Linked DNA regions of Danio rerio. The protein of the gene in region 3 purifies or fractionates together with the protein of the main gene of each other region. This does not show direct contact. Links are inferred from orthologs where the notes say so. Each region holds a gene or a part of one and is shown on either strand. Other genes may lie near its edges.

Region 1 (4,116 bases), on a different chromosome or scaffold from region 3:
AATGTTTTTAAAGACAGTGGTGAAAGACTCAAGCCTGTTTCACACCGCAGGCATGACCAGAGAGTGTTTTTTTTCGCATCCATGTTAACAGATTAGAGCTTTCATACTGCATGCAGAAGCAGTGCGTCAACACGAGGCATGAGCATCATGCAAGCAGTCGTGGTTTCGCCGCTGGGTCTATTTTACCGGTGCATTGATAATGACCAAAAACACATTGAATGAGCAGTTTTACCAAATAATGCATCAATAATATCCACTGAATTTTTTATATGCACTTAAATAAAATTAAACGATTAAACCAGCAACAAATATTTAGTTGGGCACAATATATAAAACAAAATTTAAAACCGTTTTAAACTATTTATAAACTAATGGGGTTTTGGGATCAATGAATGCAAATAATCATGATAAACGTGATTATTTCTAATACTATAATCGTACAACCAAAATTTATAATCGTTGCGCCCTAATCGGTATTATCAAAAATATAATTCTGCCAATATCACATTTACACACCATTTCCACATCCAACTAGAAAGGCTTTATTTATTTCAATAGAAAAATAGTCATTTGAAATCAGTTATCACAAACACCGTTAACCAAAGCCATAATTTTATGTCCATTTCTAATCTGGCAAGATTGATGCAGAATATATTCTGTGTGCACGTACGTGTCTGTGTTACAGATTCTCAAGACCTTATAGTCCATTGTTCAGGATTGGCACTTGTCAAAACTGAAGGTTTCCGAAGAGCGATGGTAACGTGTTAGGCTTGGGGTGGGGTTTGTATCCAATTCTCTCGTGAATCATCTGCTCTCTGGTTTTCCCATCAGCAGTGCCACCTGCCGCTCCGCTCATCTCACTGGATGTGGCGACACCGACGACATCCACCTCATCCCTCTGTTTCTTCCGACTCTTAACACATGTGGGGAAAGTAACATGAGATTATAGAAAGCTTCTTACTTTCTGTAAGATTTGCTTACATGCTTGCTTTTAAATGAGAAAAAGAATGATGAAGAAATCACACTATTACTGACTGATTTGCAGTGGTGGACTAAGAATTTTTGCTTTATTTTAATTAAGTAGGGGAGAGCAGGGACTAAAGTATCATTTTCATAACCTAATAATATCATTATCATAACTTAATCATAATTGATAATGTTTTTAGCAGAAATATATTTTCGCTGTGGTTACTAACACATAACTGTAGTCTATCAAAATCAGCTGTAGAACAACTCCAATACAACTTTACTTTTGATGCTACAAAAAAGCTGGTTGATGCAACATTTATGTTGATATTGGACTACGCTGATGTTATCTATATGTATGCTTCGTCTTCTAGTCTGCATGCACTGGACACTGTTTACCATGCTGCACTAAGATTTATAACTAATTTTACTGCTTTGTCCATTTGTAGGCTCAAGCACTAGCGTATCTCTGTTTACATTTCTATATTGGGTTTACTCCCATCAAATTTATAGAATTACATTCGGGAAAATCCTGTCCTCGGACGAAGCAGTCGCACCAGACCTAGTGCTGTCGCCTCACAGCAAGAAGGTCGCTGGTTCGAACCATGGTTCAGTTGGCGTTTCTGTGTGGAGTTTGCATGTTCTCCCTGCATTCGCGTGGGTTCCCTCCGGGTGCTCCGGTTTCCCCCACAGTCCAAAGACATGCAGTACAGATAAATTGGGTTGTGTTTAGGGGTAGGGGGATAGAATCTACTGTTTGTACAGTAGAACCATCATTAAGGGGTCTATGAGAGTCCCCACTGGGATGAAGGAACATGTCTTTATGTGTGTACAGTAAATTGAAGCAACTATTTATGACACATGTTTAAGACACGATGACAAGTCCAAAATTTTACCTCCAGCTCTTTCTTGACACTTTCAAACTCCTCCGTGTCGTCCAGCTTGAGCTCGAGGCGCGTTGGTTTCCTCCTCAGCATCTTCACATCACCGGCTTCTCGTTGCCTGGAAACACGTTACACGCGCTGCTTAAGTTAATTTACACACTTATTAACGTTAACGTTACATATATAATGTATGTTCATTAGAAATCGATGGGTTAACCTAGTTGAGTTGTGGTAGTTCTATTCAACTCTTCATATATATTTTGACTCTGAGAAAGCTCAAATGCTATGTTTTAAGGAACCTAACGTTGCAAAAGCCCATGATTGCAGTATTATATCTGCATACACAGTACACTTTACTTGAACGTTTACCGTCGTGTTGTGTATTTCGTAATTTCAAGAAATTCAGCGACGCCTGCTTCAACACCATAACGTTATTGTTTAGCAGCTACATGCTAATTAGCCTAGTAGCTCTAAATTCTGGGTCTTAAACAGTGACAAACGTCAGGATAATGAACCGTGAAGATCGTTTATTTTAGTAAGCTTGGCAAACTATTGACAAACAATTCTAAACTGAAAGAAGATGACTATTTCAGCTCACATCACTTACCGTAATCATTCACGCTTTAGACCGTAGAAAGAGCAGAAGGAATCATGGGAAATGTAGTTTAAGCGTGAAGGGAGAAAAAAGGGATAAACGTGTGTGTTTTTTCTGTTTTTATATTTTTTCAAGTTTTAAATTGATAATCGCATTAGTTGAATTATTCTTTCACTGTCTATTTAAGGGCATAGACGGTTGAAATGTTCATTAACCTTAGTTTTTTTCTTCAAGTTTTTGATCGATTTATTTAGTTAAACCTTTAAAACTAAATGTACAAAACTTGTTGTTTTAGAACGGTCCGTGTACGTTTTGTTCATTTGTTTTCCATTTTCAAACGGAATAAAGGAAATGGAGAAAACGGCCGTTTTTCCTTTTGCTCACGAGAAAACGAAAAAACGAGATTTTGGCTGGATTTTCGTTTTTTGGTTTAGGGTAGGAAAACGGATAAACGACTTTAAAATTCATTTTACACATGTAGGCGGTGCTGAAACGCCCACTTTCCTCTAATTGGTCAACCAAATCTGCGCTCGTGACGTCACCCTCAAAATAAAAGCCTTACACGCAGGCTTTTAATTATTATTATTTAATTATATATTAACTAAGTTTACATATTCTATCATTTGAACCACACACAGTTAGCAGGCTTACATTCATTGCGTATGTATAAATTAAATAAAAACGTAAAGCAGTATTCTTAGACATTTGTCATTAAAATAAGGTCATAGTTCACTGCCAAGCTTCTTGCTGCTGTGCACCTGATGCAGAGCAAAGATAGCCATTTCCGAGGAGCACCTGGTTTACATGATTGTTTCATAACAATCTTTATAATAATATAATAGGGCTTTATAATAATAATAATTATTATTATTATTAATATCAGTTACTAGTGTTTTTATTGTTTGGTGTGTTTTTTTTCTTTTTAATAGTTGTTAGCAGAACCAGAATAAGAACACTTTGGGCCCTGCTATAAAAACAAAGGGTACCATTTGTTTTCATTTACTTCTTCCTATTTTAATTATATATTGTAATTATTTTTTTGATAATTAATACTATTTTATTGCAACGCCAAAGTAGGCCTGTCTTATTATTTTTTTCTATTATTAAATTTGCTGTTATTGTAGGCTAGATGGCAGGCTTTAAATATTTTAAATAACATTTACTCATAACCTTACTAATTCGAGAGCCGAACCTAAAAAAGTTTAAGTGCAATAAGCCTGTACAATAAAGGGAGCCGCAATGCAAATTTCTAGCGCATTCTTTCACTCAACAATTATTGCTGGAATAATGAAATGAATTTTAAATTAACTAATTAAACACATTATAGTTGATAAAAAAAATTGTGTCTAGTAGTTCCGACAAACAGATGAGCTCCCCACCCAGCAATAGTTCGTCGAATAGACGTCGAAAAGACGACATTGTCAGACGTCCAAACAACGTGGAAAACAGGTGGGAAAGTGAAAGACGAAACTACGTCTTTTTAACGTCGTCGAAAAGACGTAATTGTAAGGCGTCCAAACAACGTGGAAAACAGGTGGAAAAGTGAAACGTGAAAAGACGTCTTTTTCATGTCGTCCAAAAGACGTAATTGTAAGACGTCCAAACAACGAAAAATACGTCAATTTTAAGTCGAAATTTGGTTGTGAGAAATACCTTTATAAACGTTTTAGA
Region 2 (4,312 bases), on a different chromosome or scaffold from region 3:
AAAAAAAGAAAAGAAAAAATGCAAAAGGGGGGCTAATAATTCTGACTTTAACTGTATATATACATGATATAGTGTGTATATATTCGTGAAGAGACATATTTAAACATATTCTTAAGGAAATTCCTGTCTTTATGAATAGATCAGTGAACCGTTGACTCAAACGATTCATTCAAAACAATGATTGATTTAGAAAAAAAGCTAACTTATGCCTTTATGTGGCGACCCCTGACGAATAAAGGGACTAAACTGAAGGAAAATGAATGAATGAATAAATTTTCTTTTTTAATGTCCTACTAAAAATGTACATTTTGGGGTGAACCTAAATGTCAACACATCTGACTTCTCAATGGGGAACCGGGTTTTAAAATAATAAACTGATCCAAAAATACAAAAACAAGTAATGTTTTAGTTTTACCTCAATAGAGAATCCCTACGGATATTAATTAAGACATTAAATATGTGTATATATGTACAAGTAAGAAATATCCATGAGGAGAAATATAACTTTGGGACACTTTGGGAGTTTAATTAACAAATCTAATCAGAAATAGACATGGGAAGATAACCGTTTTCAAGATATACCGTGGTTTGGAAAAGTCAAGGTTTTAAAACCACCAAAATTTTCTGCTACACAGTTTCTAAGATTGTGTAAGATTTTTTTATTTACGTTTTTTTATTTTTTTTATTAGGACAACAGTATCTCCAGCAGAAAAAAATGTCCTAACATGCTGTATTAAATTGTACGGAAATCTGTGTTTTTTAAACAAATGAAGGCAGAAGAAGTTATTTAGTTCTTATTTAGCCTGACATGTTTACTGCTCCAAAATATTTAAAATATTTCTCAAAATAATATATATTGTGTGCAAAGTAGAAAAAAATGTTTCTTTTATACCGAGACATTTAAAAAGAAGTTATTTTAGGGCAGCAATCCCAATATCGTGAAACCATGATATTTTTAACCAAGGTTATCATACCGTCAGAATCTTATACCGGCCCATGCCTAATCAGAAATACCTAAACATATTAATAGTGTTATGTTCTGCCAAAATAGTGCAGGCGCTATAATTATTACAATTTGCACAGTAAAATACAATATATTAACACCTTCAAGAAAAATATTGATATAACACAGGGCGTTAATACTAATAAACAAATCCAAACATACAAACAAACAAATAAACAGCAATAATGTTTTGCCAAAATAGCAGTCACTATCATGATTAAGACAATAAAATTGTATATACAGTTGAAGTCGGAATTATTAGCCCCCATGTTTTTTTTTTTTATTCCAATTTCTGTTTAACGGAGAGAAGCTTTTTTCAGCACATTTCTAAACATAATAGTTTTAATAACTCATCTCTAATAACTGATTTATTTATCTCGTCATGATGACAGTTAATAATATTTGACTAGATATTTTTTAAGACAATTCTATACAGCCTAAAGTGACATTTAAAGGCTTAACTAGGTTAATTAGGTTAACTAGGCAGGTTAGGGTAATTAGGCAAGTCATTGTATAACGATGGTTCTTATTTAGCCTGACATGTTTACTGCTCCAAAATATTTAAAATATTTCTCAAAATAATATATATTGTGTGCAAAGTAGAAAAAAATGTTTCTTTTATACCGAGACATTTAAAAAGAAGTTATTTTAGGGCAGCAATCCCAATATCGTGAAACCATGATATTTTTAACCAAGGTTATCATACCGTCAGAATCTTATACTGGCCCATGCCTAATCAGAAATACCTAAACATAATAATAATAATGTCATGTTATGCCACAATAGTGCAGACGCTTTAATTATTACAATTTGCACAGTAAAATACAATATGTTAACACCTTTAAGAGAAAAGTAAAATAAACCTTGGGTGTTCAGTTAATAAACATATCCAAACATACACACAAACAAACAATAACAATGTTTTGCCAAAATAGTAAACGCTATCATAATTATGACTTTAAAATTGATATACACACATGATATACTGTAGAAATATTCACAATATGAATGTCCACAAAATGAATGTTGAAAGAATGCTGAAAAATAAAACATTTTATTATGTTTTTAATCATTTTTAATTAGTTTATTTTTTATTTTCTTGATTCTTTTATTCTTGTTTATGTAAAGCACTTTGAATTACCCTGGTGATTGAAATAAACTTGCCTTACCTAAAGGAGATACCCAAAAACTATGATAGCTAACGTTAATAAAAAAAATAACTAGCACTTTTGGAAAAACAATGGTTAATACCATAGTGAATTGTGGACACTGGGGTAAATTTGGTTTTATATTCGCACATTCTGACTTCCTCCTTAATAATATACTTTCCGAAAAGGATTCTTTGCAATTTACGAATAGTAAAATCATATTAACAGCGAGCGACTATTAAAGTACAACATTGTTCACAGTCAATTAAATGGTGGTATTGTTGTTTTGAAGTCATGTTTACATACCATTGCTGACTTAATAATCAAAGTACCATAGTAAACAATATAGAGAGCGTGTTACAAGTTGTCCCTGAACGAATGTGACCAACTTTACCTAAATATCTGACGGTATTGTTGCTCTTATTAAATTACACTAACGTTACATTACTTCACTTAAGCTTACTGTATTATGACGTCACATATCTGTTTTTAATAAATAACACATCACATGTAATATCCAATATTTGGTCAGTCTTCCAGGTGTGTTTATATAGTGACGCACTCACGGGTTGTTGGTGCTCATGGTCAGGAGTAAACTACTGATGATCCGGACATTAGAGTGCAGTCCGGCCGCTGCCATATCCCGCACATGATCGATCACATTCATCTTCAAAATCTTTGAGTCTGAAAGCACAATTCTGGTAAGTAATCGATACGCAGCGCAGCGGAAAACACAGCACAGTGACGGAGAAAAGATTTTTTGAACTGCAGGAAACAATAATATTTCAAAATAAAAGTCGGATATATCGCCAAAAGAAAAGTCGCCGCTCTTGGCAAGTGTTGTTTACAATATTTCAGGTTTGAGGTTATTTGGTCTTAAGTTTCACATTTTACAAAAAAAATTAAGCATATGCTTTAAAAATACATTAATCAAGTATGATTTCTAACATTTGACAATAGTTTCACTGTGTTTACGAGAGAAACGAACAAATGTACAGATTAGTGTTTTTTTTTTCGCTTTAAAAAAAATCTTTTCTATACATTAAATGCAAAAAATGTCTAGAAAATAACTTTTGTGGCAATGGCGAAATATGAGTGGATTAAGTTTATGTTAAAAAGTCAGCAATTTATTCTAACTAAAATAAAGTTATTTTGACGATAAATGCTAATTACAAACATCATTTTAAATTTAAAAACAAATATTTATCTTAGGCTATCATAAGTGTGTTTTTTTCGTGATATTGCAAACCATCATAAACCATTAGGTTACTAGGCCAACCCGTTATTTTATTTATTAATTATTTTATTTATTAAGCCTTTTTTAATAGCTTGTTTTCAGGTTATTTTCATTTTAGGGCCATGCGCTACTAGTCAAAACGAACTCGATATGTTGTATTTTAGCTCTTAAAATAGATCTACAATATATTTTATGTTGTTTAATTTGCATGAGCAAATAGCAGTATAGCCTAAATTACATGTTTTTAAAAGATTATCTTTCTGCCTACCTGCAGCGCACGTGAGTGGTTCCTCGGTTGATCCGCGGTAATTCCACTTAAGTTCTATACCTTTTCCATTTATAACACTGCAAACTTGACTTCGCAGGCCGATCATCTTTAAACCCAAAAGGCATATTTATTATTATAGCTTGACTGCTGCTGCATAATGGGATGTTTCTCTACACAAAGTGCGCTTTTTAGCAAGATGAAAGCATTCAAAGGGTTCTGCGTTTTGTCAATTTTAGCTTAATTGTAATAATATTAATATTAATAATAATAATAAATAAATTTAAATATTATTTATAGTGTAGCCTACTGTGAGACTGTGTAGTAAACTATTTTTTTTATTAAAACATTCTTATTAGGCTACATCTTCCCGAAAAACTAATAAGACTGGCAGTTGCGTCTCTGCTAAAATTAATTTAACAGCAAATTTCTTATGTGTTTTTTTTCCTTTTGGAGCTCAAGAAAGTTGTGTTTAAATAATTAGTTAACCAAAACATGTAATGAATTAAGCTGCTCCTATCATCACAGACGGTACTGCTACTTCATAGTTGCCTAAATATCATTCTGAAATCCCGCCAAGACTCTCAAAGAGCGTAAAAGAGTAATAAGAGTTGAGCATGATATGACGTGAATACTAGTTAGCTCCCATAGAAATATAC
Region 3 (2,904 bases):
TTTTTCTTTTATGTCTAAATCTTTAGGATAGTATGCAACAACATTCTGTAAAGATACTTTATGATACGCATACTCTAAATACATCTAACCACATTTTTTGATTACTAATGTTCATTGCTAAGCACTTTATTTAAACAAATTTAAAGGCGTTTCTCTCTCAGTATTTAGATTTTTTTTTAACCGTCAGATTTGGTATTTTCAATAGTTGCATATCAGTATTTTGTACTGTCCAAACAAACTATACATGAACAGAAGGCTTAATTATTCAGCTTTCCCGTGATGTATAAATCTCAATATATACAAAATAAAATGACACTTATGGTCTGTTTTGTTCTACTGGGTAGCACAGTTGCACTAGAAATTATATATATATATAATATTTTCTTCTCAGAATTCCACTAAAAAGTTTAAATGAAATATTTTGTAACATTATAGGTCTAATTAATATCACGTTTAATCTATTTATAACATCCAAATAAAATTATACTTCAAACAAGGTTTTACTGACCCTCAGCTTTAGAACTACAACACGGAAGCCAACTTGTGAAGAAGTCTTGTGTAATTTAGCTCATATGAAACCCTATGTCAACGATAATTTTATCAACTAGCACACAAACTAACTGATACTGCACTTAAAATGTGTATCATTTTATTAAATAATTTATATCAAAACGATGAAACACCAATACAATAATACATGAGTCAGTTATTTTATAAATCTTGGATCCGGGACCCAAATTGCAGACAAACACACGGTGAAGAATCAGTCAGAGAGGATAAGAGAAGCTTCTGATCTAAGTGCCGACATTTGGGGTGTTTTCATGCAAACTCTGCAGGGCGAGATCTGACCACTTCATCTCTTGCTCTTTGACGGACTCTGTCGACCCACCATTGTCCTGCTCAGCTTCAGGAAGTTCACTCTGTCAGGAGAAAAAAACAAAATTGTCCAATGGGCTTCTACGCAATTTAAACACAGTAACGTTAAAGATATGCTCAAATAGTTTAGGGATTCTTGTGTGGAAATGTAACGTAAATGATGACAAACTATTTTTAAAACTGTATTTGATGTGCATAACGTTATCTCACTGTACACTGCCTTTCATTTATGTTCATTTTACCTTGGGCGTGCGCAAATCGAACTGCACACATCAAAACTCTACATTTATACTATTTCTTACCAGTGGGATCGTCACATCCTCGTATGGCAGTCTGTCCTCTCTCCAGGCATCATCTGTTAGATCAAGAACTCGTCCGTCTCTCTGCACTTCACTGTCCATGATTCGCTTACACGGCAACACACAGTCGACAGATCAAACGACGCAGAAACGCTGTACAGTAAGTTATGTTATGTTTGTTATTACGAAAGCTCCAAAATCATCTGTGTAAGTTCATACAAACCTGTGTAGTCTAGTTCCCAGCGCTGCCGTTTGTTGTTATGTCGCTTTCTGATGACGACATATCCTATGCATCAGACCTTTTCTGGCATATAAATATCTGGACAACTGTATACTTATTATATTTCTATGTTGTCAGCTATTTTTCGCATTAAACATAGTCGCATTAAATATGGCAAAGCAATGACAATGCACGTTTTTATTAATAATTTGTAAATATAATTTTTTTCTTTTTTTGGAAATATGTTCACTAACGTATAAACGAGAGAATCGTTTATATGTTTTCAGTCAAAAGATGCTTATTAATTACAGATTTGTGTACTTTAAATGCATATTTGAAATATATATTTGAGCAGATGAAAATCGATGCACTTTATAATGTGTGTGTGTGTGTGTATATATATATACACACATAAATATACTAATATATAGTATACTAATAAATATACTAATACACATATATTGTAACCATTGTAAAGACATGTAACGTTATACATGCTATACATTCAAACAATATCACCGTTTTGTAAATGTGTAAAACATATTTACAAGTATTTTTCTTCAGTATACAGAATGCATGTAAAAGCCATGCGCGGAGGTCGGGCAAGTAAAAACGACAATTACGTCAAGACGTCAAAAAATCGCCGAATCGTTACAAGCGGTTGAGTCGAGCTGTTCGAAACAACCGATACACGAAGGGTAGATGTACTAACCGCTCAACTAACGCCATGACCAGATCTCGAATCTGACCAATGAGCTGTGAGCAATCGAGCTCGCGCTGTAAGGAAGTGAGCCGCTATTGGCTGCATTCGACTGTGCTACTGCAGTGACAACAGAGGGTCAGAGGGTTTTTACTTCAGCTGTTTTTCCTCGCTGTTGTGTCTTCAAAAGCACCTTTACAGGTAAGCTGACTGTTACCTGCAATTACAGTATTAGCTTTGACTATTTGTAATCAGAAATCACAGGCTGTGCATTCTTTCTTGATCCTCTTTTGTTTATATTGTCTTAAAAGTACAAAGTTACAGTTTACAATGCTGGGGAAGGTGCAATTGCATGTACCTAAGTTAGTATTCTCCGTGTTTTTCTTTACCAGTATTTTGCTTAGATTATTACAGTACTGTTCACATGATTTTCTCTTCACTCACATTTTATGTCAAGACATTATTTTATCCACATGTCAGTTTTGAGACTTTTTTGTATTTTGTCATGCAGTGTTATTTGTTCAGTTAACAGTTAAAGAAAACATCCAAAATATTTTTGCCGTTTGTCCTTTGTCACACTTTATTTATTTGTGCCTGTAAATTTAATCTTCAATACATATTTGTAAAGACTTTTCTCAAAGGGATTTTTTTCTTGTATTCAGCTAAATATCTCCACTTCAGCAGCACTTATAATATATAGACCTTTACAGTTCTGTCTGTACTCTAAAGAAGTTTTAAAGAGTGACAGGTTAAGCAGATTACCAGATAATTTACCAGATTCCAAACATTTTATTGTACAAAAAACGTAA

The links. The genes of interacting proteins can lie anywhere in the genome.
Region 1: the proteins of anapc13 (region 3) and cdc26 purify together in Homo sapiens (affinity purification with mass spectrometry; 4 studies listed by BioGRID and IntAct, counting the BioPlex papers as one, with this or other methods). This does not show direct contact. The link is inferred for Danio rerio from reciprocal best matches to the Homo sapiens genes ANAPC13 and CDC26.
Region 2: the proteins of anapc13 (region 3) and anapc7 purify together in Homo sapiens (affinity purification with mass spectrometry; 3 studies listed by BioGRID and IntAct, counting the BioPlex papers as one, with this or other methods). This does not show direct contact. The link is inferred for Danio rerio from reciprocal best matches to the Homo sapiens genes ANAPC13 and ANAPC7.

Annotation. Positions count from the first base shown.
Region 1 is NC_133180.1:62,620,774-62,624,889, forward strand, and holds cdc26 (anaphase-promoting complex subunit CDC26), read right to left. Parts: upstream 2,518-4,116; 5' UTR 2,458-2,517; intron 1,969-2,457; 5' UTR 1,944-1,968; coding exon 1,863-1,943; intron 914-1,862; coding exon 728-913; 3' UTR 519-727; downstream 1-518. UniProt on the Homo sapiens protein: Component of the anaphase promoting complex/cyclosome (APC/C), a cell cycle-regulated E3 ubiquitin ligase that controls progression through mitosis and the G1 phase of the cell cycle.
Region 2 is NC_133183.1:13,344,055-13,348,366, forward strand, and holds the start of anapc7 (anaphase-promoting complex subunit 7), read right to left. Parts: upstream 2,819-4,312; coding exon 2,718-2,818; exon of another isoform or gene 2,458-2,717; intron 1-2,457. UniProt on the Homo sapiens protein: Component of the anaphase promoting complex/cyclosome (APC/C), a cell cycle-regulated E3 ubiquitin ligase that controls progression through mitosis and the G1 phase of the cell cycle.
Region 3 is NC_133196.1:25,982,048-25,984,951, reverse strand, and holds anapc13 (anaphase-promoting complex subunit 13), read right to left. Parts: upstream 1,455-2,904; 5' UTR 1,399-1,454; intron 1,329-1,398; exon of another isoform or gene 1,284-1,328; 5' UTR 1,278-1,283; coding exon 1,179-1,277; intron 921-1,178; coding exon 795-920; 3' UTR 633-794; downstream 1-632. UniProt on the Homo sapiens protein: Component of the anaphase promoting complex/cyclosome (APC/C), a cell cycle-regulated E3 ubiquitin ligase that controls progression through mitosis and the G1 phase of the cell cycle.